Lonchura striata: one gene and its partners. The protein of the gene in region 1 interacts with the protein of each later gene in a pairwise test. Links are inferred from orthologs where the notes say so. Each region holds a gene or a part of one and is shown in the gene's direction. Other genes may lie near its edges. The genes, in order: RINT1, C28H19orf25, FAM110A and RBM41.

Region 1 (7,785 bases):
TTTCCCCTCATATTAAAACCACAGTCATTGTATGCCCAGAGAAGATTACATTATTTTTCCCAGCAATCAAAGTGAGCCTGACTGGTCTCTAATTCCCTAATTATCTTTCCTGCTCTTTCTGAAGTTGGGTGCAGCACTTGTTTTCCACATTTGTCTGGGACATCCCTAGATCTGCACAATCTCTGAGGTGATAAGAGAAAAACTTCACCATGACATAAGCCAGCCTGTATCTTTGCCCACTACTGGTAGTCCCTCTTTCTTAACCTTGCCTCTAAGGTGGTCAAGGCCAAGGCAAAAGGGGCCTTGAGACCATCAGCCTTATGTCTGTCACTAGACCAGCTGCCCTGTTTAGCACCAGGCCATCACTTTCCTTGTATTCCTTCTGTTGCAGCTGAACTCTTGCTGGTCTTGATGTCATTTGCTGCTTTCAACTGTAGCTGAGCTTTGGCTTTCCTAACACCATTTCTGTGTACCTGGACAATGCTGGTGTAGTCCCTCTTTGTAGCTGCCCCTAGGTTTCACCTGTTCTATGTGTTCTTATAGATTGGGTTAGTCATGAGTTCCATGCACATTTTCCTTAATATTGGATTGAACTGTTCTTGTACTGTCAAATTGTCAACTGATTTCTCTCTGCTGCTTTTTAATGAGAGAGTAATGGGTAGTCTGGCCCTTTTTTTTTCACCATATACCTGAGATTAGTCCTGTGAAGTCTAGAAAATTGGAATGCATGTATGAGATGACATTTAAATGTCAATAAAGTATTTTGTAAATTTTGTTTTCGGCTGAAATTTGATTTGATGTGTTCTTGGCTACTGCCTATGCTAATCAGGGTGTAGAAGTAAACATTTAAACTCTGTGCAGTATTTATCCCATATATGCATATTTAGCATATATGCTAAATTTAAGGGAAGAGAACAATCCATGAAAACAGTCTGCTTAAATTGGTAACACTACTATATTTTCCTCTCTTACAGTTGGTGAGGCCTACAAGGAGATGCTGGTAGCTGACAACCTTGATATCAACAACATGAGGCATAAAATCAGAGATTACTCACTTTCTGGAGCATACAGAAAAATTATCATTCGGCCTCAGAATGTCAATTGGTGAGTTGGAGCATAAAGGAGATTACACTTGCTAGCATAGAGTTTATTTAAATACAAAACAACATGAGACTGATCCATGGAACATCCACACAGACTGAAACATAGGTAGAAAGGAATCTCTCTGCACTTCTCTCATGTTTTTAATGCAGCTGAAGTGGAACTATAGCCTTTTCCTTGGTTCTCTAGTTCTGTGGTGGAGGAGTATCAAGACATCTTAGCTAGTTGTTCACTCCTTGCAAGGACTTGCCTGAACACTTCATAGATAATACTTAGGTTGAAACAATGATAGCTAATATTCAGAATAGGGTTTTTTGTAGTCTTGCTATAAAAAAGTTGGTCTCAAATTATCTATCAATCAGAAAAATTTGTGTCACTTCATCCTACTAAATCACTGTTGTTAGAGATATAGCCTAGTTTTCATATGGCAACTGAGTAAATACCTTTTAAACAGGAAACTGTACAAATGTGCAGGAAAACACTATCACTGATGCATAGAATTAAATATAGAGGATTTAGGAGCACAGAAATACAAATATTTATACTTGAAACATCAGCACTAATTAATATTAAGTTTGTCTACTTCCCAGTTAGTTTTTCAGCCTCATGGTTACATATTGGATTTATGTTAAATGAATGGCAGAAACTGTAGAATATCTTAGCCCATTCAAAGTTTGGATAACTATTGAAAGGCTTCACTTGTGCTAGGTACTCTTAGAGTTGACACCAGTCTTCCCTTAATTTCATGAACTATACTTCTTGTGTAGTTGAAAATTCTGACAGCACACAAGGGCAGGCAGATGAGTTATGCAAAGAAGCTTCTCACTAATTGTTTTTTGACAATCTTCATAAAGCCAAGGCAAATCTTCTACATAAAGCTTTACTCATTATTTTGCCTAATTCAATTTCAGTTGTAAATGCCAAACTGCAATAATAATAATAAAAAAATAATATTGTAATAAATACACATTTATATAAAATGTGTTAACCTAAATAATTTTAAATAATAATAAATTTTATGTATGTTATAAAGGGAAGTTGTTGCATATGATGATCCTAAAATCCCATTATTTACTACGGATTTGGATAAACTGGAAGGAAAACCATTACCAGTACTCCCTACAGGTAAGTTGATTTTTCTGCTGGTTTGCTAAATGGGAAGTTTGATCTGGCTGTTGCTTTCAATTGCTGCATAGTCAAATCTCCTTTAAGGAAGAGCTTTCACTTAAATATTGACTGTTAAGTGGTGGTAACAACAGGACAGGCATCTAAATAAGGACCCCGATTTCTCAAGGGTGAAAGCCATTCCTCCAGCATCTGTATTGACTGCTACATTTTCTTACAGACATCTGTAAAATCAAGTAAATGCCTAGCAGTAAATGTCTGCAACTAACAAAGGTGGAATTAAGTCACAAATTGTCTATATACTGAGCTTGTATTATTGATGCTGAACACAGATGACTGAAATACTTAACTCTGGTCATAAGGTGTTTTGACACTGCTTTCCAGAAAAGCGAAGACAGGCTAGGAATTGAGTCTGAAAGAATTAATATTTGCTTTTAGAAGAAGAAAACTCTGAAACCACCACTTTGTCCTGAGAGAAAATGTTAAATTGTTTCATTAAAATTTTCACTTGGATTATAAACAGGAATGCGATGGTGGTGGTTGCTTTGCTTTATGGGCTGGGAAAGTTGGTTGTGGAAACTGTTAGTTCAGTTTAGATGGCATCCAGAATAAGCATTATATATGCCCTTAACCACTTGTTCTTGTTTTTTGTCTCTTACACCTGCTGATAGATGGCAAATTCAGGGCACTAAAGATGGAGTTCTCCCTTCCCCCATCCACTTACGCGACCATGGCGATTCGAGAAGTTTTGAAAATGGACACAAGCATAAAAAACCAGACACAACTGAATACTACCTGGTTGCGCTGAGTGAACTGCACAATTATTTGATTTTAACAATGTTTTTCTTATTTACATGTTCTGTACAAATCTTTAAAGAGTCACAGTAAAAAATTTGTATTTTTTTAAGTTTTTTTAGTGCTAGCATTTAACTTCAGTAGTCCTTTGAAAGATGGTGACTGTAATATAATAAGGATTTTAGTGACTGGTGCTTTTTACTGAATGAGTAACTTGAGGTGTATCTTTAGAATTGTGCTTATAATGGCATCAGACCTGGAAGAATGTTTAGCTTGCTTTCTTTGGGCAAGCACTGAATGTTTTCAGGAGTTCAGCTGCCCGTGAAGTCTTTTCAAATACAATGAATTACACGGGGAGAGATGAATTACAATAAAATTAAGATACTGATGAACATATGTATTGCTGGAGTTTTGCTAGTAGCATTTGCACTGATGCAGTAGCAGATTCTTTTAGCAAGGCTTTTATGTGCTGTAAAGCTGCACAGCTCTTTTAAATATGTCCGACTTTTCATTGAGAAAACACTTGTATTTTCCAGCTAATACCTGTACCAAAGAACAGGTACTACAAATAAACTAACCTGAAACTCTGAGCGTGTATCAGTGAGCGCTTCCTTTGCGCCTGTCGCTTGTTGGCGGGGAATGCCTTGCTGTTGGGGGAAAAAAATCCTGTGGGAGCTTTCTAAAGAGACGTGGCCTTTTCAGCCAAGCGTTGCTAGTCCTGTCGCCGGCCGTGGCAGAGGCGGCGGGGGAGGCCAAGAGGTGTGAGGCCGTGTCCCAGGAGCGCGGGGCGGGACAGCCCCGGGCCGGCGGGACAGCCCCGGGCCGGCGGGACAGCCTCAGGCCGGCGGGACAGCCCCGGGCCGGCGGGACAGCCCCGGGCCGGCGGGACAGCCTTGGGCCGGTGGGACAGCCCCGGGCCGGCGGAACAGCCTTGGGCCGGTGGGACAGGCCCCGGGCCGGCGGGTCAGCCCCGGGCCGGGCCGTGTCCCGGGAGCGCGGGGCAGAACAGCCCCGGGCCGGTGGGACAGCCTCGGGCGGGCGGGACAGCCCCGGGCCGGCGGAACAGCCTCGGGCCGGGCCGTGTCCCGGGAGCGCGGGGCAGAACAGCCCCGGGCCGGCGGGACAGCCCCGGGCCGGCGGGACAGCCTCAGGCCGGCGGGACAGCCCCGGGCCGGCGGGACAGCCTCGGGCCGGCGGGACAGCCCCGGGCCGGCGGGACAGCCCCGGGCCGGCGGGACAGCCTCGGGCCGGCGGGACAGCCTCGGGCCGGGCCGTGTCCCGGGAGCGCGGGCCGGGAGCGCCGCGGGGCTCCCGGGAGCGGCGCCGCGCCTGCGCCCCGCGCTCCGCCGGCCGCGGCGCCGCTGACGCGGCGGGGGCGGTGCCGCGGCCGCGGGCGGCTGAGGGCTCCGGGCGGCGGCTGAGGGCTCCGGGCGCCGGCTGAGGGCTCCGGGCGCCGGCTGAGGGCTCCGGGCGGCGGCTGAGGGCTCCGGGCGCCGGCTGAGGGTTCCGGGCGGCGGCTGAGGGCTCCGGGCGGCGGCTGAGGGCTCCGGGCGCCGGCTGAGGGCTCCGGGCGGCGGTGACGGCTCCGGGCGGCGGCTGAGGGCTCCGGGCGGCGGCTGAGGGCTCCGGGCGGCGGTGACGGCTCCGGGCGGCGGCCCCGCGGCGCTCCCGGCCCGGCAGGGAAGCGGCGGCCGTGGCGGCGGAGGAAGGGCTCGCCGAGCGGCGCTGGGCTGAGGGGCTGCCCGGCCGCCCGGCCCGGGCCGCGGGCGGCGGCGCTCCGCTCGCAGCCTGCCGGAGCCCGCGGAGCCTGCAGCCGGCCCTTGGCAGGGCCCGGCCGCTGGCCGAGGTGGGTGCTGGGCCGCGGGGCTGAGCGGGCAGCTGCTGGGAGGGATGCGCCGGAGTCCTGTTCCTGCCTTGTGTAACCAGAGCCTTCCCACTAAGTATGAAAGGAGCACCATTTGGTTGTTTTTTTTCCTGCCGTTTAGTATTTACATTGCTGCAAACAGGAGTATTACTGCTCTGTTTTCTTTATTCGATTATTCTTCTGCAGCACCCTTGGTCGCCCAGTTTGTTCTTCCTGGTGCTCTCTATTGTCTCTGCAACTCTGGCTCATCAGCTGCGCCGCTTCCTCGCTCCTGTTGTCAGTTTAGTAGGGGTTTTAATTAAAGCTTGTAGCAGATGAAGTGCAAGTGTATCGGTTTTTATTTTTAAATACTCTTTTGAAAGTGACGCGGATAAATTGAGGATTGATCTGGCCAAACAGTTGTCACTGTTGCCTTTTCTGTTTCACTGTGGACATCCTCTCAATGTTGGGTTTCTCTGAATGCTGCCAAATGTGTGGATCAGCAAATACCTTTTAAGTTATACTGTGTGGGTTTTTTGGGCTAAAACTTCACTGATGTATTTACTTTCCAAATTATTATAAGGCCCACATGGATACTTTGCTAGTAATGCAGTAGACATGTGTTGGAATCTCTAAAATTTCCTAAACTTGTGAAAAGGGAAAGTGGAACCTTAGCTTCCTTTTTATTTTACAAATTTTTTTGTAGTTTTTATTAAGTTTTCTATATTATATATGTAGGAACTACATATTTCTTGAACTATTTTTAATAGAATTTGTGCTTTTGGTGAAGGAAGAAATTATCAGATGTATTTATCTTTAGTAGTTAATATATAATAAATCACCAGTTGGTTATGTCAGCAAGGTTTTATCAGACCTCAGACTTAAGCCAGTAAATTGTCTCACTTAAAGCAGTATAATTAATGAATATGGTATTTCAGTCTCAGTTTAAATTGAACTGCCCAGCTTTTCATGGAGTTTTGTTCCTCAGTAGATAATATTTGTTTGTGCTGTCTTAGTGTCAGCTAACTAGAAATTGTATACTCAGTATTGCAGAGAAAGAAAACATGGCAAGCATTGCTGTTAGAAAGAAAGAAGTCACTAGAGATCTAGACCACTGTGATATCCCATACTATGTTTCTGAATTTGTGGAAAGAGAACTTGGAAGTGACTATGATTCCCTGGGGAAACTAGACAGCCTGATTGAAAAGCTATCTGAAAACAAAAAGCACTTAGAAGAACAGGTAAGCATCTTTCTGTTTCTTTTCTTTTTTTCTTCTGAACATGCTGTATGACTGATTGAGAATATGAAACTAAATGAAATGTACCAGTATCTCAAATAGTACTGCTCTACACAGTGCAGTGGATTTGTGTCTGCATTGATGCATCTCTGTCAATGCAGGTACTTACAGTTTCGTCAGAAGTCCCTAAAAGAATTCAGAAAGCCTTAAAGAATGCAGAAGATTCCAAAAAGTCTCTGAGTCAGCTTCTGGAGGAGGAAACTGTTCTGTCTGAGTCCATCAGTAGCCACTTGCTGAAAGCTCAGCCATGGATGGAGGATCTCGATGTGCTGATAGGTCAGGTAGAAGAGATCGAGCGACACCTGGCCTACCTCGAGTGGATTTCTCGCATAGAAGAGCTCAGGTAGTTTCTGAGTAGTGGGTATGTTCTGAGACTGGTGACCTGGTTTATTATTAAAATATTTTAAATTCAAAAAAGTTTTGTCTTTACTTTTCAATATACAAGTTATTCTTTTCTGTTGTCATTAATGAATATTTGGCCTTGTCTTTTTTTGTGTTTTATAGTGATAGCATTCAGCAATATCTGCTGACCAACAATGTTCCAGAGGCAGCCAGTACTCTAGCATTCATGGCAGAATTGGATATTAAACTTCAGGAGTCATCTTGTTCTCATCTTCTTGCTTTTGTGAGATCCACTGTTAAATTTTGGCATAAAATCCTTAAGGACAAATTGACAAGGTAAGAGAGATACTGTGACTCTCTCATCTTTATGTTGTACTGTCAGTTGATGTCCTGGTGATTATTTTGTGTTGCAGTGACTTTGAGGAGGTGCTGGCACAGCTCCGCTGGCCCTTTGTGGGGCCACCTCAGTCCCAGGCATTTGGCCTTGCTGCACCAGCCAATGCTCCTGAGGTGTACAACAGCTTGGAGATGCTGTTCTGTCAGCTTCTGAAACTGCAAACCTCGTATCCTTTTAAATCCTTGCAGTGAATTTTAGCAAAAATAAAAACTGTTAGAGATGTACATTCTCAAGGAGAATTATTTAAAATTTTATTCTCCCTAAAGACAGAATATAATTTATATTACTTTGTATTAACAGTAGAATGTTGTGGGGATTTGGTTTTTTTTTTTTTTTTTGGGTGGGTTTTTTATTTGTTTGTTTGTTTGTTTTGGCATTTATAAAATGCCAAGTGCCAAAGTTGTCCTTTTTGTCAGTACCAACATTTTAACTCCAAGTCATCAGATCCAGTGCTCTCATGGTAGCTGACAGTTCAGGTTGCATGAGAATGTGGCCTTACACTGTTTGGAACCATTACCCATGCATGTTAATGAAAAAATGGTGATGTGTGTTTTATGAGACACAGTTAATGCTTTTCCTTTTAAAGCCTTTTGTGAAATAAGATTTAACTACTTTAATATGTCCTGTCCCAGAAGGAAAAAAAGGGAAAACTAAACATACCTGTCTTGGAAGGAGAGTTTACAAAAAGGGGAGACTGCAGGAGGATTTCTGTTGTGCAGCAATCATAAGTCTGCCTTTGAGGTTGCTCAGAGGGCACTGCAGCTTATTCTGTCCCTGATTTTTATGAATTAAATAATTCACAAAAAATCAGTTAAAACTCAAGTTTAACTAAGCCTTTGTGTGTGTGTGACTGTGGCTGATGTTTTTCTTTTTTTTTTTTAATC
Region 2 (6,883 bases), on another chromosome or scaffold:
CAGCCCCATCCCAATCCCATCCCAATCCCATCCCAATCCCATCCCAGCCCCATCCCAGCTCCATCCCAATCCCATCCCAATCCCATCCCAGCCCCATCCCAGCCCCATCGCAGCCCCATCCCAGCCCCATCCCAGCCCCATCCCAGCCCAATCCCATCGCAGCCCCATCCCAATCCTATCCCAGCCCCATCCCAGCCCCATCCCACCCCCATCCCAGCCCCATCCCAGTCCCATCCCAATCCCATCCCAATCCCATCCCAGCCCCATCCCACCCCCATCCCAGCCCCATCCCAGCCCCATCCCAATCCCATCCCAGCCCCATCGCAGCCCCATCCCAGCCCCATCCCAGCCCCATCCCAATCCCATCCCAGCCCCATCGCAGCCCCATCCCAGCCCCATCCCAGCCCCATCCCAATCCCATCCCAGCCCCATCCCAGCCCCATCGCAGCCCCATCCCAGCCCCATCCCAGCCCCATCCCAGCCCCATCCCAGCCAGGGGAGGGGGTCGCGGCTCCCTCGGGGAGGAGCAGCCTCCCCCGTGCCTCGTTCCATCCAGCACCTCCGCGACGTGGAATTAACCCGGCGTGGCTTTCACCCCCTGGCACACGCCCGTGCCTGCTCTGGGATGAGAATCCCGCTCAGGAGACCGAGCGGGGTCTCCCCCGGTGGCAGCAGGCTCCCGAGCATCCCCTGTGCCCCGCAGGCTCCCTGGCTTTCCTGGGGCTGTACCTCATGTTCGGCTACGGCGCTTCCCTGCTCTGCAATGTCATCGGCTTCGTCTACCCCGCCTACCTCTCGTAAGTACCTGTGCCGCACCTGCAGAGCGTGCCCTGCCCTTCGCTGAGCTCTCCCTGCTCAGCCAGGAGGCGATTATTGCTGGGAAGCTCTTGAGACCTTCCTGGAGAGGCTGGGACCGTGCCAGCCCAGAGCAGCCAGTGGGCAGGTTCCCTCCGGGCTGGGGGGTTTGGGAAGGTGGAGCCCAGCCCGGGACTGCAGCAGCCGTGTCCTTCCTTCCTTGTTTCTTTCCTTGTTTCCTTCCTTCCTTCCTTCCTTGTTTCCTTCCTTCCTTGCTTCCTTCCTTGTTTCCTTGTTTCCTTCCTTCTTTCCTTCCTTGCTTCCTTCCTTCCTTGTTTCCTTGTTTCCTTCCTTCCTTCCTTCTTTCTTTCCTTCCTTCCTTGTTTCCTTGTTTCCTTGATTCCTTCCTTCCTTCCTTCCTTGTTTTCTTCCTTCCTTTCTTCCTTGTTTCGTTGATTCCTTCCTTCTTTCCTTGATTCATTCCTTCCTTCCTTGTTTCCTTCCTTGCTTCCTTCCTTCTTTCCTTGTTTTCTTCCTTCCTTGTTTCCTTCCTTGTTTCCTTGTTTCATTCCTTCCTTGTTTCCTTCTTTCCTTGTTTCTTACATTGTTCCCTTGTTTCCTTCCTTCTTTCCTTGTTTCCTTCCTTGTTTCCTTGTTTCATTCTTTCCTTCCTTGTTTCCTTCCTTGTTTCCTTCCTTGTCCTTCCTCAGCATCAAAGCCATCGAGAGCAACAGCAAGGAGGATGACACCATGTGGCTCACCTACTGGGTGGTCTACGGCGTCTTCAGCATCGCCGAGTTCTTCTCCGACCTCTTCCTCTACTGGTTCCCCTTCTACTACGCCGGGAAGGTAACGGCCGTGCCACGGCGGCATCGCTCACATTATCAATACAGTCAACCAAAAAGAATGATAACCAGAAGTATTTTGCAGACTTAGCAAAAGTACAGGTCAGAGAGTATTCAAGAAGACTGATTCATTCAATTCAAAAGTATCTAACATTTATCCAAAGCTCCTTAGAGTGCAAGATGAAGCAAGTCCCAAAAAGTGAGAGGTTACTTTGGAAAACTCATGAATAGTACTTGGGGTTTTAGAGGTTTGGAAAAGGACAAATAAAATTTCTGGTTTTGGAAGGCATGAAGAAAAAGCCTGTGGGGGAAAAAAAAAAAAATGAATGCAGTTTCAGTTCCTGGTAAAATAAAGAAGCAAGAAAACAAACCAAAATTATAATATAGCTATTTGCAAAATATTAATGAGCTGCAATGGAATCATCATGAAGAGTTGTGCAATCAGTCAGTATGGGCTGTTAGTGACTTAGCACGTGGCAAGGCCTGAGGGGATGGGAGAGGAGAGAGACAAGAGGATGCTCCAGGAGATGGGGGGAGTTCCAAGAGGGGGGAAGATCCAAGAGAGCCTCTGGCCCCTCAGAGACCCCTTATCAGGGGGCTTCAAGGTGGGCTGGAACAAGATTTAGGCCAATGGGGTCACAGACACCTGATGTTTCAGGTGTGGGGTGAACTGTACATTTTGGGGGTTGAAATGGAATAATCCATTTGACTTTTGGACTTATCTGTAGGTAAGGGTATTGTCCAATGTAAGGAGGATTGTTTTCATCCTGGCCGTATTATCGTAAATCTTTTGCCAGGCAATTATATTTATTCATCCTTCCCAACAGGTGTCCAAAGAGGCTCCCTGAAACAGAGGCTAGATGGTGTTAAAGGAATAAAGTGGGGATTTATTAAAAATCTTTCGCAGGATACACCTTGGGCAGTGTGAGAGCCCGGCCGTGGCTACACCCAGGATGGACCCGCCGGGTCATGGGTTTTCACACTTTCTAAGTTTTGGTCCATTTTGAGCTTAATTGTCCAATTCCAGCTCTGGGTTATGCAGTCCCACGCTCCCAAGTTTGCTCTCCTAAATTTGCTGCTGTCGATGCTTTTTGGCCTGAAGCTGCAGCAGCATCCTTGGTTCTGGGGCTGGAAAAGGACTGTGGGCCTGAGCTGTGAGAACTGGCTATGAAGCCCAGAGTTATAAACTAATGCAGTACAGAACCTGGAATATGTGAAAACTGGAATTTGAGGCGTCAGAGGGGCCGCAGCCAGCTCAGATCCCGGGGGACTCCAGTGAGCTCCAGCTTTGGGTGCTGCTGGGTGGCCCCGGAGCCACTGAGCCCCTGCTGTGCCCGCAGTGCCTGTTCCTGGTGTGGTGCATGGCCCCAGTGCCCTGGAACGGCTCCCAGCTCATCTACCACAGCATCATCCGGCCCTTCTTCCTCAAGCACCACCGCGCCGTGGACAACATGATGGGTGACATCGGCACCAAGGCTCTGGACGCCGCCTCCAGCGTCACCCGAGAAGGTAACTCCGGTGGCCCACCCGGTCCCTCCCTCCCTCCTGCTCCGTGTCCCGGTTTTCCCAGCGAGCTCGTTAATTACCGGCGGGGGATTGATCCCTTCTGGTGCCCGTGGGCCCAGCCCCGTGCCGGGAGCCCCGGGGGTCACGGTGCCCTGTCTAACCTCTCTCTCCTCTCTGCGCTGCGCGGTCCAGTCCTGCAGACTCTGGCCAAGAGCAGAGCCCGGCTGGCGGCCGGGGTGGCCCCGCAGCCCAGCCTGCCCGTAGGTACCGAGCGGGGCCCGGGCCGGGTCCCGTGTCCGCCGTGGCACCGCCCAAAACCCGCTCTGTTCCCGCACAACCGGCCCGTTCTCCCGTGGCGTGCGTAGGGCAGGCGCTCCCCTCCCGCTTCTCCGTAGCCAGAGCCCGTCCGTGCGTCCATCCGCGTGTCCATCCGTCTGTCCATCCCCGTGCCCGCGGTTCCCCCAGCGCTGCTGCTCGCCCGGGGCTCCGCGGCGGGACCGGCTGTCACCGCCGTGCCCAGCGGGACGGGGAGGGAGCGGGACGGTGACGCGGGGCCGGGCAGTGCCCCAGGACACCGGGCACTGCCCCGGGGCCGGGCACTAACGCCAGCCGTGTCTCCGCAGGCATCAAAGCACCCCTGAACCTGACAGAGTTAGTGCAGAAGGCGAAGTGAGAGGGGCACCGGGGCCATTGGTACCGGCACTACAGCGCCGGTACGGGCATCAGTACCGGCACCAGCGGCCCCAGTACCGGCACCGTGCTCCCAGTACTGGTACCGGCATCCTCCGTTCTGGCACCGAAGTTCCCCGGTACCGGCACCGTGCTCCCGGTATTGGTACCGGCATCCTCCGTTCTGGCACCGAAGTTCCCCATACAGATGCCGGTACCGGCACCATACTCCCGGTATTGGTACCGGCATCCTCCGTTCTGGCACCGAAGTTCCCCGGTACCGACACCGTGCTCCCTGTACTGGTACCGGCATCCTCCATTCTGGCACCGAAGTCCCCCCTACCGGCACTACAGACGCCGGTACCGGCACCATACTCCCGGTACTGGTACCGTCATCCTCCGTTCCGGCACCGAAGTTCCCCGGTACGGGTACCGGCAGCATGGCCCTGTTACCGGTACCGGCCAGCCCGGGATCCCGAATTTCTCCAGTCCGAGTCCGTTGTCCCCCAGCCCCCCAATAAACCCCGGTGCCCACCGAGCGCCGCTCCCGTCCCGCGCGTTCCGTGACCCCGCGCGGCGCCTTTAAGAGCGGCAGGGGGCGGGGCTTAGGGCAGGGGGCGGGGCTGTCTCAGTGACGTCACGGGGCGTGGCGGAAGTGCGGCCGGGGTCCGTCCGTCTGTCCGTGTGTCCGTCCGTCTGCGCTCCCGGGGGTCGGTCTGTCCGCTGGGGGGACCGGGGGGGCTCTGACGGTGTGTCCGGGGGGCGGAGGGGGCCGGTTTGTCCGTGCGGGGGTGGGGCTCTGCCTGTCTGTCTGTCTGCCTGTCTGTCTGTCTGTCTGTCCGGGGGCGGGGGCAAGGAGGGGTCTATCCGTCTGTCTGTCCGTCCAAAGGGCGGGGTGGGGGACTCTGTCCGTCTGGGGGGAAGGGAGTGAGTCTGTCTGGGGGGGGGGGGGCAGCAGAAGGGATCTGTGTGTCTGTTGGGAGGCAGGTTTGGTGTCTGTCTGTCTGTCTGTCCGGAGGGGAAGGTTTGGGGGGGTTCTGTTTGTCCTTCCAGGGTTACAGTGAGGGGGCTCTGCTCCGTCTGTCTGTCCAAAGGGCAGCACAGGGGGTCTGTCCGTCTTGGGGGGACAGAAAAGGGGAGGTGTCTGTCTGTCTGCTTGTCTGTCTGTCTGTCCGTCTGTCCGGAGGGGAAGGTTTGGGGGGGTTCTGTTTGTCCTTCCGGGGTTACAGTGAGGGGGCTCTGGTCCGTCTGTCTGTCCAAACAGCAGGATAAGGGGGTCTGTCCGCCTTGGGGGGACAGAAAAGGGGAGGTGTCCGTCTGTCCGTCTGTCTGTCCGTCCGGGGGTGGGGGCACCGCCGCACCCTCACCTCCCCGCTCCGCAGCGTCTCCCCCATGAGCCTCCCCCGGGATGAGCTCCAGGGCCAAGCGGGTGCTGCTCACCCGCCCTGAGCCCCCCAGCGCGGAGCAGATCCTGGCCGACGTGCAGGGCTCGCACCCCTCCGACCCCGTGTTCGTCCTCCCCGCCGAGCCCCCCCAGGAGCCCGGCCCCGCTCCAGGTGAGCCCCCGCTGGGCAAGGGGCGGCCGCGGGGACCCCCCGAGCCCCGCTGAGCCCCGGCCCTGCCCGCCAGGCTGCCCCGAGCCCGCGGAGCGGGAGCGGCTGTACCGGCAGATCCGCTCCTACGTGGCCATGAACCAGCGGCTGCAGCAATCCCGGGAGCAGCTGCGGGAGCGGCGCCGGGAGCTGCAGAGGGTCGGGGAGGAGCTGGACCGCGGCATCGCCGAGATGAGGCACAAAGCGTTCTGAGGAAGCCTGCTGGGCGCCTCGGGACACCCCACGCCGTGGTTTCACCTTCCCAAAACCGTTTGCATCGCGAGGATCCGGGTTTGCCGGGGCAGCCCCGGCTGTGCCATCCCAGTGACCTCTTGCCAGGGAGCTCTGCCAGCACGGCGGCACCTTCTTGGTGTTGGGATGAAGGCTTGCACCCCTCCTTCTGCCCCTGAGCCGGCTGCCACGTCCCCCGTGGGTGGCACGTCCTCTGCTCTCTACGACTTTTCCCTCTGGTACGTCCCCGAGGATGACCACGTCGCCTCCCGCATCGCAGGGCGCCTGAGGGAGGAGGGATTTCGGGGCTTCACCGAGCACCAGGACCAAGTGGCCGGGACATCCGTCATCCTGTCGGCCATGGAGGCCATCGAGGCCAGCCGGGTGGCCATCCTGCTGCTCTCGGCCAAGTCCGTGGGCGACCGGTGGTGCCAGCGCGTGTCCCAGTGGAACCTGTTCCGCAGTATCCACCAGCGCGGCCCCAGGGTGGTCCCCGTGTGCGTGGGGGTGACCAGAGCCGAGGTGCCCGCGTTCCTGCAGCACCTCGTCCCGCTGGAATACCAGAACGAGTTCTTCTTCCAGCGGCTGCTGGCCAGCCTGAGGGCCCGCCCGAGGAGCGGGCACCGGCGGGTCCCGCCCGGGGGCACGAACTGAGGCACCGCCGGGGCCGGCTCGGCGGCCAGCACCGCCCCACGGTGTGGAAAACTGCCCTGTTTTGCTAATAAAGGTGCTGGCAATGCATCACGCAGCACCGTGGGCTGTCCTAAATCTCATCAACCCCCATTTTTGGGAGCTGAACGTGCCGCTTTCTGTCTGGGGGCGGGGGATGGTGTGCGGGTGTGTCCCACCCTCCCAGGCGCGACCTTGTGGGTGCTTCTTCCCCTTCCTGCCCTGCTCCGCTGTCACCCGCGGCTCGTCCAGCTCGGCTGCACCGGGAGCCGCGGAACGGGCGGGATGGGGCCGAGCCTGGGGCCGCTGCTGCTGCTGCTGCTGCCGCCCCTCCCGTGGGCTGAGCCCCGGCCCGGTGGGGCCGGTGGGGCCGGCGTGGGCTCGGACGCACCGGCCGGGGCGGTGGCTGGTGCCGGTGGGGACGGGACCCGGCTCCAGCCCTCGATCATCGGGGGACACGAGGCCAAAAAGCACTCCCGGCCCTACATGGTGCTCCTCCAGCTCGAGGGGAATCGCTCCTGCGGGGCAGCGCTGCTGCACCGGCGCTGGGCGCTGACAGCCGCGCACTGCCTGCGT
Region 3 (6,443 bases), on another chromosome or scaffold:
CGGCAGTGAGACCCTTCCCAAGGGTGAATGGCTACAGGGCAGAGGCAGCTCGACGGGGTGCTGGGTGTGGGACCTCCGTGTTGCCCCTTCATGCTACTCACCCAAATCCACGCGATGCGTGCTGCCTGTGCCTTCCCCGCCCCCTGCCCGCCCCCCAGCTGAACTCCCGGCCCCCCGGCCCCTCGCCCCTCCGCACCCCCGGCAGATGCGAGCGAAGGCCCCGGAGCAGATGGCAACATTTGGTAGCCGAGTGGTCCCTGCCTGCGGGACTTGGCTGGGCTGTGATGACCATCCCTCCAGGAAGCCCCCTCCTCACCCAGCCAGGGCTGGGGAGCCCATCCCAACTGCAAGCCAGCGCATGCCAGGGGGTGCAGAGCGGATCCCCGGGGTGGGCACACTGCCCACGCCATGGGAGTAACAGGGTGGCAGGAGGGCACGGGAAGATTGGCAGCCCAGAAAAGCAGAGGTCTGTCCTTGAGCTCAGCCCTAGTGAGACCCATCCCCTAATATCTTCTTCCATGTGTGAGCAGTGGGGATGGTCTGCCTGGGCAGAGGGTGGCTGCTACTCCATGGGGGGACAAGGGGACCCCCTCACTCCAGGGACTACTGGCCACCCTATTTGAGAGGGTATGACCCCCCCAGACTTGGGGACCTGCTGCCGGGTCTCAGCCTGGACCCTGGCAGCCTCAGCCCTATTTGCATCCATTTCCATGTGAAAGGAGCAGGTCAAGTTGAAAGTGGAAAGGCTGGTGGGGGCAGCAGGGAAGGGGCTGCTGCCGGAGGTGAGACCTCAACAAAAGGGCCGGATCCCCAGGGCCCAGTGCTTGCCTGGCCATGGGCTGCGGCCACGGCCCCACGGCAGCCGCCATCTGCGGGTCTGTGCCGCTGCCACCACCGGCCAGACAAAGGCCTTGTGCCCAGCATGTCCCCATCTGTCACCTCCCTGGCTCCCAGATCCCTGAGCAGAGACGGAGTGTGAACATCCGGGTGCGGGCAGCATCATTCCCTCTGCCCACAGGGAATGGGGTGATGCTGGGTGCAGCGGGTGCTTCCCCATTCTGTCCCCATGTTCCTTCTAGAGTAGCTCTGTAGAGCTCTTGCTGGGGAAACTGAGGGAGGAGCAAGTGGTGGCTTATCCTGGGTCAGGGCATGGCAACAGGCTGCAATAAAGCACCCAAGATGAAGAGGCTGGGGATCTCTCAGCTCTGGGGATGCCTTTGCCCATGCAAAGTGACGAGCCCTAGCCCTGCAGCTTGGCAGGTGTTGCCAGGCGCCCTTAGCTGCCTCCACCCAGCACTTCCACGTGGGAAATTGGGTGCTGAGTTTGTTTTCTGCTCATTGGCAGCTTAATTTACCATCCAAGAGGTCCTGGCAGTGGCACGAGGGTGTCTGTAGAAGGTGAGAGCAAAGGCACTGCCAGTGCCTCATTGTCCCTCTGCTCACAAACACCGTCCATGTGTTCCTGGGCAGCGGTGCGGATGCTGCACCGGGTGCTGCAGGAGCATTCCTGCAGGAGGCTGTCCTCCCGGGGCATGTCCCGGGATGCTCCCGGGGAGGGCGAGGCTTGGGTCGCTGCCTGGATCCAACGCCCCGCTCCAACGGGCCAGACGTGCCCGAGCAGCTCCTGCAGCCTCCTGCCTGCACCCGCACAGCCTCGGCGCCTGTGGGGGGACGCAGCCTGCGGGCTCTGCCCTTGCCTACCAACTGGGATTTTCTAGCTGAGCCCGTTGTGCAAATCTGGGCTCAGGGCAGACTCTGAGCTTCCCTTGGCTCTTCTCCCTCCACCAGCTCCTTGTCTTGCTCCAGGAGCCATTTGAACAATGCAGGGCTGTAACTGAGCTCCACAGCATGAGCCAAAAGCTTGTTCCCTCTGTGCAGAGCTGAATGCAGATGCCTGAACCATAGGGCAGGAGCCACCGTGGGGCTGGGTTCAGGCCAGCAGGTCCAGGTGGCTGCAGGCTTGGTGACCCTGTTCCAGTCTGTCACTTCCCTTCCTGCTACCCAGTTTATTTTCCTATGTTTTGGAGTTTATTGCTGCTGGGTGAGTGGAGAAACAAGATGAGATTTCCAAATCAAAGCAGGCCCTGCCAACTGACCATACCACTGATATGAGGGAATCTGGGTGCCCACAGGAAGGCTGGGAATTTCCCCCGTGTCCCTGAAGCCCTAACCCAGCACAAGGACCCTCTGCCCACAGCGAGCTGTGACATCCAGAAGCATTTTGGATTTGTCACTGTGAGCATCTCGGGCCGTGTGTGTATCCAGGCTGCCCAGCCGGCACCGCGGACTGAACCGGCACCTGGGAGGTCACCAGACACCGCACGCTGCGTGGCACAGCCTGGCACACAGGAATGCCCTGTGGTTTCCATCCCATGTGAGCGCTGAGTTGCCTCCGAGGGCGTCCTCGCCCGGTGCTGACTCAGCGGCAGCCGCCGCACGCAGAACCGCTCCGGCACCCTGCAGCCGCCAGCACGCGGGGAGACGGGCAGGACGTGGCTGGGGAGCAGGAGGCTGGGGACATCAGGACACCATCAGGACATCCTCGGAAAGAGCAGGGAGAAGAAGTGTGGCAGCTGATCCTTGCCAACGAGGCTCCCGCGCTGCAGGGCCAATCCAGGTGGGTGGCAGAGGGGGTGATGGTCTCGTGCTGGTCCAGTGCCAGCAGAGTGGGGCTGGGTGAGCCGGTGAAGGGGTCATAACCGTGCACCTCTGGAGCAGCTCCTCCAGGCAGGAGGTGGCCTGGTGTGCCATGTGAGCCTGGCTGGACTGCCCACCCCAGGAGGGAGAGGAGCTGGGGCCACACTGGGCAATGCCCAGAGCTCAGATCCCCGCACTCCAGCTGGGTTTGGGGCATGGGATTTGTTTGTTGCCGAGTTTTTGGGGCTGTTGGGAGGGCGGCTCCGCTCGGCTCAGCTTGGCTCGGTGCAGCCCAGCTCGGTGTGGCCGTGCCAGCGCAGTGGCTCAGCACTGCAGGAATGTGGAGCAGCAGGTTGTGCCCGGCCGGGCTGGCCGTGCTGGGGAGGGGTCCCCACACCGGCCACTGGCAGCTGTGCTGGGGCTCCCATGACCTTGTCCCTAAACTTCACAGCCACCTCCTCTGTGGCTTGGCTGAGTGTCTGGTACAAGGCTGATCTCCAGTGCCTGACGTGTGGACATTTTCCTGCTTTGCCTTGCCTGGGGGACACTCTTGCACCCCTGTGCTGAACCGGGGAGCCCTCCCTGTGCTGGGCACAGGTACAAGGGCAGTGAAGCTGGCACAGGGGTGGAGCAGCACGGGACCTGAGGGGTAGGGCAGAGGGGTGCAGAAAGCTGCCCCGGGGAGGAGGCAGGAGGATCTGTGCCGGTGCTGGGACCATTCCCAGCTGTCACACGCCTGGCCGCCCCCCTGCAGACATTTTCCAGGTCAGGAGGCAGCATGTCCCCCCAAGGCAGGGGACGAGAATGGGGAGAGGGGCAGCCAGCCTCCCCCATGGCCACTCGTCTGTCACAGCGTGTCACAGGGATGTGTGCTGTGCAGGGATCCTGCTGGGGTCCAGATTCTGGGGAATTTGGCACCCGTGGGCTGGTAGGGGATGCAGACAGCCACGGCTCGGCAGGGCTTTGGGTGCTGCTGGGAGAGGCTCTGGGCTGCTCCTGCTGCTGGGATAGGCTCTGAGCTGCTCCCAGGAAGTTTGTGCACGCAGGTTGAGCGGGTGAAGGTGGCAGCTGCCTGCTTGGCGCTCCTACGGGAGCGAGTGAGGCCACAGCACACCGGCTCTGCCCTGCCCACCACTGCACCTGGTGAGTGCTGGGGCTTGCTGCCACACCCTCGGGCTCATCGGTGCCCCAAATCGGGACCCTCAGGAGGAATCTCAGAGCAGCTTGGAAAGGGGTTGGGGGAGGGGGTCTGACCCACATATGCTCCTGTGTGCCCTGCCACTGCTGAGCCCCTCTGGGTATCGGGGATACTCTTGGTGTGTCCACCTCTGGTCAGGGGGCTGCAGAAGGGTGTGGGGCTGGTTTGGGTGCCCTCCCCCACCTTTTTGCTGTGGGCGGGCTGGTGCCTCTGTGCGGCCGTTGTGGCGGCTGCGCTTGTTGGGGCTGGCAGGGACCCAAGGACACGGGGTGCACAGGGCCTCACGCTGCCCCGAGCACACCGCGGCCGGGGAAGCACGAGTGGAAAGCCCCGTGCACTCCACTTACTTTCCAAGGAGTTTCAGGATGAGAGCAGGGAGCCTGGGAGCAGCCGCGGAGCTTGCGAGAGCTGAGGGAACAGCAGAGGGGAGTGGAGCATCGAGCCCACCAGCCCGGCGGGGTGGTGGGTGATGGAGCCATGGGCATGGGGGATGCACGCCTGGGAGCAGGCAACGCAGCCCTGGGCACGGGTGATGCAAGGATGTAGATGAGGCACCCTTGGGTGCAATCGCCCCCTGGGAGTGGGCGATGCACTCCTGGGAGAAGGACTTGCCCCCCTGGATGTGAGCAGTGCGCCCCTGAGCATGGACGATGGGCACATGCAATGCACCCCCGGCACCTGCGACTTGGGCAGAGCATCAGTGAGGGGTTCTTGGCTCTCTCCGCGCCACTGTCTCCGCAGGGTGCCCCTCGCCGGCACCGGGGCGCCCTCCCCGCCGGCGCCATTGGCCCGGTGCGGTTTGAAGCAGGCGTGCGGCGCGGATTGGCCGCGGCACTTGTCGGGGAGGCTCGGCAGCGGCGGAGGCGTGGTGACCGCCTTCAAATAGGCAGCCTGGAGCCGGGGGCGCAGCGAGTGCGGTACCGCACGGCCCGGGCTGTCTTTGTCTGCCGCGGGGCCGGGGCGCGGGCAGGGGCAGCATCGCCGCCGCTCTCACTCCGGCCCCGCTCTCGCTCCGCAGCCCACGGCACCTGAGCCCCTCGCTGCCCGTGGCGGCCGCTCACGAGTGTCCCGGTGGCGGCACGGAGGATGCCCGTCGAGGCGCTGCAAGCCGGTGACACCATGAAGGGGGTGACGGTGACGGCGCCTTTCACCTCGGCCATGCCCGTCCGTATCCTCCGCAAAGGGCCCGCGTATTTCCGCCGGCACGCCGAGCCGGGGGCCGGGAAGCCCAGCGCAGTGGAGAGGCTGGAGGCCGACAAGGCCAAGTACGTGAAGAGCCAGAAGGTCGCCAGCACCAAGCAGGAGCCGGTGAAGCCGCTGCTGCTCAAGCAGCCCCTCTTCACCGCCGGGGTGCGCCGGGCTGTGCTCACCCCCAGCCGCAGGGCACCCCCGGGGCCACGCCGCGCCGATGCTGCCAGCCCGAAGACCTCCCTTGACCTGGAGATCCTCAACAACCTCATCAACCTCTGCGACAGCCCCTTCCCTAAGGCGGAGAGCCCGCTGGGCAGGGAGTGCAGGTGGCGGGCGGAAGCGCCAGAGGTGGAGGGGGCTGTCAAGCCACCGGAGAGCCCGGCCACCACCAAGCCCCCCGGCAGTGTGGCCGTGCGGAGGGTGGACGTCCGTCCCTGTGGAGCTCCGCGGAGCCCAGTGACACCTCTGCCTGCATCCCCCATCCCAGGTGGGCTGCCTGTGACCCCGTCCCGGAGCTCACCCGCCCGCCCGGAGAGCGCCCGCCGGCAGCCGCTGCTGCACCGCTCCAAGTCGGACCTGAGCGATCGGCTCTCGAGGGCCACCGCCGACCTGGAGCGCTTCTTCAACTACTGCGGCCTTGACCCCGAGGAGATGCAGGACATGGGGGCTGAGCGCTTCGCCCGCGCCAGCTCTGACATCGTGTCCCTCAAGTTCCACAGCGTGAGCACGGCCAGCTCGGAGGGCGGCCACTCGCCACCCAGCGCCGCCACGCCGGAGGGGCGGCCGGCGGAGCGTGTGCCCTACGGCATCTCCATCATCGAGCGCAACGCCCGTGTCATCAAGTGGCTCTACGGGCTGCGCCAGGCCAGGGAGCCCCAGCAGGTCTCCGATGTGTAGCAGTGCCGTGGTGGGCACCGGGGATGGGCCGCTCATAAGTGGGCAACGCTGGATGGGGACAAAGCGCTGGCTGTGCCCTGCGAGGAGCAGGGACCTTTTGGTGGTGACAGGACCCTTGAACTCAGCCCTGCTGTGCCACAGCATCACTGGCCTGATGTGGCCAGGGATCCATTGTCAGACCCCTGTGCCACCACTGTGCCAGGTCCCTGCAAGCTCGTGGGAAGGCAGAGGACACGTGTCCCCCTGGGTGTGTGGCTGGTCCTCAACACCCACAGGGCCTCGTGTGGCTGCCCTGCCTGCACTGCTGGCAGCTCCTGCCTGTCCTGCTCCTCACCAGCACCCTGGGGTGGGGTGCAAGGGGCTGGTTCCCCCTGCACGAAGCTGGGACACTGCACTGGTGAAGGAGCAGCCTCCACGGAAGGGGTCCCACTGCCTGGGGTGGTGGCCACATCCTGGTGGTCCCATCTTATTGCTGAAGAAAAGCCTGGTGCTTTGAGGTGTGAGGGGGAAGCCTGACCCC
Region 4 (7,256 bases), on another chromosome or scaffold:
GGAGGAGTCTGTGAAGGAGCAGAGCGGGACCATCTACCTGCAGCACGCAGATGAGGAACGGGAGAGGACGTGAGGCACAAACCTGTGGGGATGGGGGCCGAGCACTGGCCTGTGCCCACAGCCCTCAGCAGGAGTGGAGCTGGGATGGGTGTCAGGATTAACAATCAGTGCCTACCGTCAGATATTTATTCCTGGTTTATGCACGGCAACTTTAGATTTTACTCAGAGTCCTCCACTCTCTTGCTGGTCTGTCTCCATGTGTAGCTCAAGGGAGACAGAGCTTGGGAGTCCCCTCATGTGGGTGCTGGAGCCTCCCTGGGTGCAGCTCCCAGTCTCTGCCAGCCTGGGCTGCAGCTGTGGCAGCTGATGCTGATGGCCCACAGCTGGTGTGACTGTGAGCAGGCCCTCCAAGTTGGCTTTGACCATTCTGATCTTGGTTCCTGTGTGCTCTGCAGCTACAAACTGGCTGAAAACATCGATGCTCAGCTGAAGCGCATGGCACAAGATCTGAAGGACATTATTGATCACTTGAATACATCAGGAGGCCCAGCAGACTCGAGTGACCCGGTAAATGCAAGCTTTTATTTTATGTTGCTGAAGAGGCAAATGATATTGAAATAATTCTAACTCTTAATTTGTCCCCATGTGGATATTCCACTTATACTTTTTCTTCATACTATTTTTATATCCTCATAAAACAAGATCTGTATAACCAGCTCCTGATATCTTTTAAATTGATTTTGATGCTCCTTAGGGCTTTGCCCAGAAGCTTTTTTCTGCAAAAATTTCCTTTTAGTATTTTAGACTGAGTTTACCCACATTCATTTTGAATTTTGCCACCTTAAGCCTAAGGTTATGAATATTCTGCTGGTTCCTAGGTCTTAAATTAAGATAAGCCAAAGTCACAGACATGTTATCTAAACTGTTCAGTTTTCTTGCTGCTATGGAATAGCCAAGTAGCAGTGTTGCTGCACACACTTCCCTGGCTTAAGTGGCTGCTCTCTTGGGAAAGGCATAACTTTGCCTTTGACTCCTCCTGGTGTTTATGCCGTCTCGCAACTAACTTGCACCTTCTCTCTCTGCTCAGCTTCAGCAGATCTGTAAAATTCTGAATGCACACATGGATTCCCTGCAGTGGATTGACCAGAATTCAGGTGAGATTTGTCCTGCAGCCTTTTGGCAGTGTGAGTGGGAAGCAGGAGCTGTGTGTGAGTGTTCATCCCTGAATTCCTGAGGATGCCTGAGGAATCTTCCTCCTCAGCCTTCAGTGGCATTGTCCCTTCTGACATCTGCTTGAATTCTGCTGCTGTGCCTGATGAGAGGCCTCTGCTGGGAAGTTACTCCTGACAACTGGTATTTTTACCCAGAAAGCCCTCCTTGAATTGCGTCAGTACAAAGCAGAGAACTTGAAAACCTTATTCATTCTGTCAAACTAATGTTAAATAGTTCAGCTTCTAAAGATTGTGTGGTTTCTCTGTGGTGCAGGAAAATTGGTGAGGGAAATGTGTGTGTGTTGAGTGTTACTATCCCTCCCAGTCTGAAAACAGGAAGTCACATCCAGATAAGATGGAGCAGCCTGCCTTGATCTGCAGGTGGGGTAACTGCAGGAATAGTATGGGAATTTCACAACCTCCAAAGCTTGAGTTCCATTGCACACAGAGATGCACTCAGGAATAGGCACTTGACAGTGGAGTCATACTAAAACAAGACAGAAAAAAGGAAGTTTTCCCTCTGGAAGAGTGCCTCCTGGTGAGGGATTCTGGAATTTTGTGCCGTTTGGATTTTAACTGGTAGCAGCCACACGGGGGCACGGCAGAATAAAGCAGCTCTCCTCTCAGAGCCCCAGAGCCTAGTTACAGTGCTGTGAAATGCTCACACCTGGGGTAACAACTTGCGTGAAAGCAGACCTGCTCTTCTTCATGTTGGCTTAGGTCAGGGTCTAATTCGGTGTTTTCTTTCAGAACACTCCTGCTAAGCTTCCCATTCTAAACATGCCTTTTTCAGCAAATCTGGTACAGCTCCTGTGCAACCTGAATTTACATAATGTGTGTAAAAATAGCTATCTGTTTGCTTTAAACTTTCCTAGAAAGGAGACAAATTTTTTCTTTTGCCATTAAATAACGAAAACATTGTCTTATTGGTAGTACTTTGGGTTGTGTTTTCCTCCTGCTTTATCCACTGACAAATCTGAGTGACTGTCAGCAAGGAATTATTTTTCTTTCTGCAGGCAAAACTGTGCAGGGTTGTGTTCTGGGGTGACTGTGACATTTAATCCCTTGTTTCTGCCACAGCTGTGCTACAGAGGAAGGTGGAAGAGGTGACCAAGGTTTGTGAGAGTCGCCGCAAGGAGCAGGAGCGCAGCTTTCGGATCACCTTTGATTGAGACATTCCCAAGTTCAAAGGATGAACATAAAACCTCCACAGAAAACAGAGGTGTTTGGGAGCTGAGGACTGAAACAATGACCTGGTTTTATTTCTTTTTTTACAATAAAATGTGCTGTTTGTTCAAAGCCAGTCTTTGTGGTGTTGGACTGGATTTCACGTGCTCCTATCAGAAACTGGATGAAGTCTGCAGGAAGTGTGTACTCCTTGTGCTTTAGCTGTGCCTGCAGACTGGTGAGGTAACAGAAATGCTGTCTTGGAGGACTCCTGCGTGCTTTTGCAGGAGGAGGCTGCAGAGGTGGCTTATGTGAGAAGCTCCAGAAGCTTCCACCATGTCCAGCAGGGCCAGTCCCTGGTGGCTCCAAATGATGGACAGAGTTGCTGGCCAGGGCTGGGCCAGTTAGATATGGTGGTAATGACTCTGTGAAACAGCTTTTTAAGAAGAAATAAATACAAATTTGATGCTCAGTTGTAATTGCAGCCAGAGAAGAGAGGGGTGAAAATCTGTGAGGGGAACAGCTCTGCAGACACCAAGGTTAGTGAAGGAGGGAGGGAAAAAGGTGTTCCAGGTGCTGGGGCTGAGATTGCTCTGCAGCCTGTGGTGAGGACCATGGTGAAGCAGCTGTGCTCCTGCAGCCCATGGAGGAGCCCCATGCCAGAGCAGGGGCATGCCTGACAGGAGGCTGAGCCTGTGGCTGAGGTGCCCTGCTCCCAGGCTGGAGCAGCCTGTCCTGGAAGGACTCTGTGGCAGAGTGCCCCACACTGCAGCAGTCTGAGGGGGCTGTTGCCCATGGGATGGACTTCTCACATCAGAGAAGTTCAGAGAACTGTCTCCCATGGGGAGGACCCCACAGTGCAGCAGGGGAAATACTGCTGTCCCTGAGCACCAGGAAAACCAGGGGTGACAAACTGACCATAACCCCCATTCCCATCTCTCTATGAACTGATAATAAGCCCCATTCCTGTGTCTCTATGAACTGCTCATGACCCCCGTTCCCATCTCCCTATGAACTGACCATAACCCTGATTCCTGTCTCCCTTTGAACTGACCATAACCCCAATTCCTGTCTCCCTTTGAACTGACCATAACCCCAATTCCTGTCTCCCTTTGAACTGACCATAACCCCCGTTCCTGTGTCTCTATGAACTGACCATAACCCCCATCTCCGTATGAACTGACCATAGCCCCATTCCCGTCTCCCTGCGCTGCTGGGGTACGAGGGACGGGTAGGCGAAGGTGTTTCTAAGGGCTGATTTTACTTCCCATTACCCCGCTGTGCTTCAGTTATCAAAAAACTCCGTTCCCATCTCCGCCTTAAGCCCTTTGCCCGTGACGACACTCGACGCGAGATCCCTTCCGGTCCGTGTCTCAAGCCGCGAATTCTGCGCTAAGTGTCGTGCGTTCGGCCGCGGAGGGGAGCGGCTGTCCCCGGGGCGCCGGGCACACCGTGCGGCTCTGCCGGGCGGGGCAGCGCTGCGGGCAGCGCTCGGCTCGGCTCGGCTCGGCTCGGCTCGGCTCGGCTCGGCTCGGCTCCTCCCGGGGCGGCTCCCGGCGGGCGCTGCCGGGGCCCGGCGTGCGGAGCGGCGGGGCCATGCGCCGGTGAGCGGGGCAGGAGCGGGGCGGCCCGGCCCCGCTGCGGCGGTGCGGGAGCGCCTGCGGTGGAGGATCTGGGGTCTGGCTGCTCCGCGCAGCACGGACCCCGGAAAGGGAAAAGCGCTGCTGGAATTCACCGTTTCTCCTCGGCGTCGCGGTTTCACTTTCCTCCCTGTCTCATTTGGAGCTGGCAGTGTCTGCTGTGGAAAATGCGTGTTTTATGATTGGCTTTTCGCAAATTAATGTTATATGTATAATGTTAGAAAGTTATGGTGTATTAATTCTCTTAAGGACTCTGTTAAATATAGTTTTAGGTTACAACATAATGTTGAAATAGAAATCTGTGATGTAGGATTTTTTTACTAGCTCAAGCAAGACATGAGGTAATCAAAAAGCTCTTCACACAGAGGTGACAGTGACTTGGGGCCCATGAAGAGCTACTGCCTCCTTATCAGAAAAGACAGTCTTCCACCTTCTCTCCATCTTTATGGAACCACCGGGATTAAGGGGAAGAAGTTGACAAAAAACAGAAAAGTTCTTAATTTGCAAGGAATTTATGCATCATGTAGGATATATATGAATATGCAACAGGCTATTGCATTTAAGGTTATTCCTTTGTTCACAAAGTATGCTTTTTGTGACTTAAGTGTCCAAGAGCATCCATAATTCTTTGCTTTATATTGTTTTGTTATGGTCCTAACTCTAAACTTTATTTCTCTAATTGTGTTACTATTTTTATAACCATTTTATTATTATTAAACACTTAAAATTTTAAAAACCAAATAATGGGTGTTTTTCACACTGGCTAGATGCTGATGCAAGACGATTTCGGTCAATAAAAATTATGGCGTGTGATTTTAAAGTAAACAAACAACCCCCACACCAATATAAAAACACCCAGAGGCTCCTTGGGGTACTTTTATGTTCTCCAAGGAATCCCAAATTTGTTGACTTTTCTAGTAATGTTAAAGGGAGCTGTGGTCAAGTAGTTTTGGTTTCTTGTTTTTTTAAAATCCCATAAAACCAGCGCAAGAGGTGGAGGAGCTGTAGCAAGGATGTGTTTTGAGCAGTGTTTCCTCTATTGCCTGACTGCCCATGCCTGTGCTGTGGTTGTGTGCCCCAGGGTGAACAGCAGCCTGTCCAGTGATGAGCTTCTCCTGGAAGACTTGGAGACAGAAGGAGAGAGGCAGCTGAAGAGCCTCCTTCACCAGCAGCTTGACACCACTGTCTCCATCGAGCAGTAAGTGTGGTCTGGCCCAGGTGTGGTCTGAGCAGCCCCTTGCTGTCCCCAGTTCCTCAGTGCTGAGCTGTCTGTGCTGGCGTGTTCCTTTGGCTCACAGGTGCAAGTCAAAACGGAGATGCTTTGCTCCTGCAGCTTTTTACAAACCTTTCGGAGAAGAGGCTGCGGGGGCTTTGACCCTGCCACAGTTCCAGGCCCTGCAGGAGAGTGACAGAGAAACCTCGTCTCTCCGGGAGCTGGGGCTCTCCGACTCGGAGATCCTGCTCTGGAAGAACCGGGACTCGGCAAGGAAGGTGGGCATGCTCTGCTCTCACCTGAGCGTGGTCAGGTTCCTCTAACCCCGTGGCTCTCTGGTAGAAAATTCCAGTCCTTTGTAAGCCTTTGGTAAAGAATGGCCTCTCCTTGTATCCCTTGCCTTTAGCCCAGCACTATCCTACATTTCTTCTGGCCTCTTTTCTTTGGTGGAATGGTCAATGTTAAAAGATATGGTGGAGACAGGAGTGGGTCCTTTGGAACACAGCAGGATGTGAGGGTATTCCTGCCTTTGCCTTGATCTCAAATAAATCATTTCACCTCTTTATACCTGTGTATGAAGGATTTAAAGGCCAGAAGAGAAGGAGAAAATATTTCAAAGCATCTCAAATCCTCCTTTGAGTATCCTGATAAATCCCTGGATCCCATTGCTGATTTGGGATGGCTGTTTGTAGGGGGTGTTCTCCTTAGGGGCTTGCATGTCCTTCAGGGGCTCTGGGACAGCCACATGAAAATAGTGCAGAGCTGTCAGACCACTGTGTGGTCTGTGCCACCACCACTGTGTGGTGGCAGTGCCTTGGTGCCTCCTTGGATGCTCTTCCAGCAGGTTTCTCCCCTTCCCCCACTTTCACCCTTTTTTTTCACATTCCAGAGTCAAGAGGCTTTTGTGGTTGTCTGTATCAGGTGCATTGGAGTGTCCTGCTCTTAATCTGCCAAACTAGAAAATGCAAAACAGGAGTTGGGCTGATCCTTGGCTTCCTTTTGTCTCCTGTTCCTGAGTGATAGCTGTGTGCAGGAGAGTTGTCTGTGGAGAGTTGTCTGTGGTCATCAGTGCTTTGCCTCTTTTCAGCTGAAATCATTCCTTGCTTTGGTATTTAAATGGAAATCCAACCGTGGTGTGGCCTGATTAAAGCTTGGTGCAGAGAGGAGTGGTGTTAATTTAAGAATGAAAATCAATGTCGTCAGTACTAGCTGTTATATTTAGTATGAAATGTATTCTGGGATGTTCAGGAATAATTACTTGTATGGAAAACACTACTCTGACAGAAAATAAGGCTGACATCAGGGTATGTCTTCTACAGAAGAAGACATATTTATAACAGAAGAGAAGAATATAAGAGAAAAATATTTAGGGAGAAAGCCTAAGTCAGTCAAAGCCTATGCAGCTTTGGAGGTGGAGGCCCTGAGTGAAAGATTCCATCATGAGTGATGAATAATGTCAGCTGAAACAGAGAGAACTTCAGATTGCCTGGGGAGCTCTTGGCAAAGTACTGAGTGCGGATTTCTGTTATTTTCAGCTGCTAAGTGGCAGCTTTTTTGAAAACAAAGTACAACAAATGATTTCCGGGAATTGCTTTTCCGTATAAACAGCCTTTTGTGCCTCAGGGAAGCTGTGAAATGGTGAATGGAAGAAGCTGTGCAGATGTGGGGCAGAGGTACCATGGGAAACTCTGTTAGGCTGTGCTCAGTGCAGGGAGAAAGCCTTGTTTCTTGCCTGAGGCAGAAGGATCTGCCACAGGAATTCTCAAACTCAATTTGAGAACAGAAAATCCACCCACAGCCCCATCAAAGTGTGTTCTGTGTCCTGATGGAGGTGGATGGGGGAGCAGAAGTGCCCTTTCAGCAGCTGGGCTGTGTCTGTGTGCTTTGGCAGCATGAAGTGTTGGTGCAGGGAGGTTTGTGTACCCAGGGATGCTCCTTGCTCACAGCTGAGCTGCGGGGGCTGTGCTGCAGCTCCTCTGTGGTTTCTGGAAGCTGGCTCAGTGATGCTGGTTGGGGTTTAGTCCT

The links.
Region 2: the proteins of RINT1 (region 1) and C28H19orf25 interact in binary tests that used the Homo sapiens proteins (3 or more experiments, as listed by UniProt). The link is inferred for Lonchura striata from reciprocal best matches to the Homo sapiens genes RINT1 and C19orf25.
Region 3: the proteins of RINT1 (region 1) and FAM110A interact in binary tests that used the Homo sapiens proteins (3 or more experiments, as listed by UniProt). The two-hybrid records come from large-scale screens. The link is inferred for Lonchura striata from reciprocal best matches to the Homo sapiens genes RINT1 and FAM110A.
Region 4: the proteins of RINT1 (region 1) and RBM41 interact in binary tests that used the Homo sapiens proteins (3 or more experiments, as listed by UniProt). The two-hybrid records come from large-scale screens. The link is inferred for Lonchura striata from reciprocal best matches to the Homo sapiens genes RINT1 and RBM41.

The regions. Positions count from the first base shown.
Region 1 is NC_134607.1:59,931,816-59,939,600, reverse strand, and holds the start of RINT1 (RAD50-interacting protein 1), read left to right. Parts: upstream 1-4,778; 5' UTR 4,779-4,867; intron 4,868-5,909; 5' UTR 5,910-5,928; coding exon 5,929-6,105; intron 6,106-6,263; coding exon 6,264-6,505; intron 6,506-6,666; coding exon 6,667-6,840; intron 6,841-6,917; coding exon 6,918-7,067; intron 7,068-7,785. Other genes in the region: PUS7 (pseudouridylate synthase 7 homolog), read left to right, coding at 975-1,104, 2,135-2,226, 2,898-3,034. UniProt on the Homo sapiens protein: Involved in regulation of membrane traffic between the Golgi and the endoplasmic reticulum (ER); the function is proposed to depend on its association in the NRZ complex which is believed to play a role in SNARE assembly at the ER.
Region 2 is NC_134630.1:6,186,770-6,193,652, forward strand, and holds C28H19orf25 (UPF0449 protein C19orf25 homolog), read left to right. Parts: upstream 1-4,451; 5' UTR 4,452-4,525; exon of another isoform or gene 4,526-4,529; intron 4,530-5,197; 5' UTR 5,198-5,223; coding exon 5,224-5,371; intron 5,372-5,444; coding exon 5,445-5,620; 3' UTR 5,621-6,379; downstream 6,380-6,883. Other genes in the region: REEP6 (receptor expression-enhancing protein 6), read left to right, coding at 704-797, 1,506-1,644, 2,981-3,149, 3,770-3,819.
Region 3 is NC_134619.1:7,439,790-7,446,232, reverse strand, and holds FAM110A (protein FAM110A), read left to right. Parts: upstream 1-4,921; coding exon 4,922-5,923; downstream 5,924-6,443.
Region 4 is NC_134616.1:18,475,897-18,483,152, reverse strand, and holds the start of RBM41 (RNA-binding protein 41), read left to right. Parts: upstream 1-4,240; 5' UTR 4,241-5,031; coding exon 5,032-5,216; intron 5,217-5,316; coding exon 5,317-5,509; intron 5,510-7,256. Other genes in the region: nuclear pore glycoprotein p62-like, read left to right, coding at 1-69, 456-567, 1,088-1,154, 2,292-2,383. UniProt on the Homo sapiens protein: May bind RNA.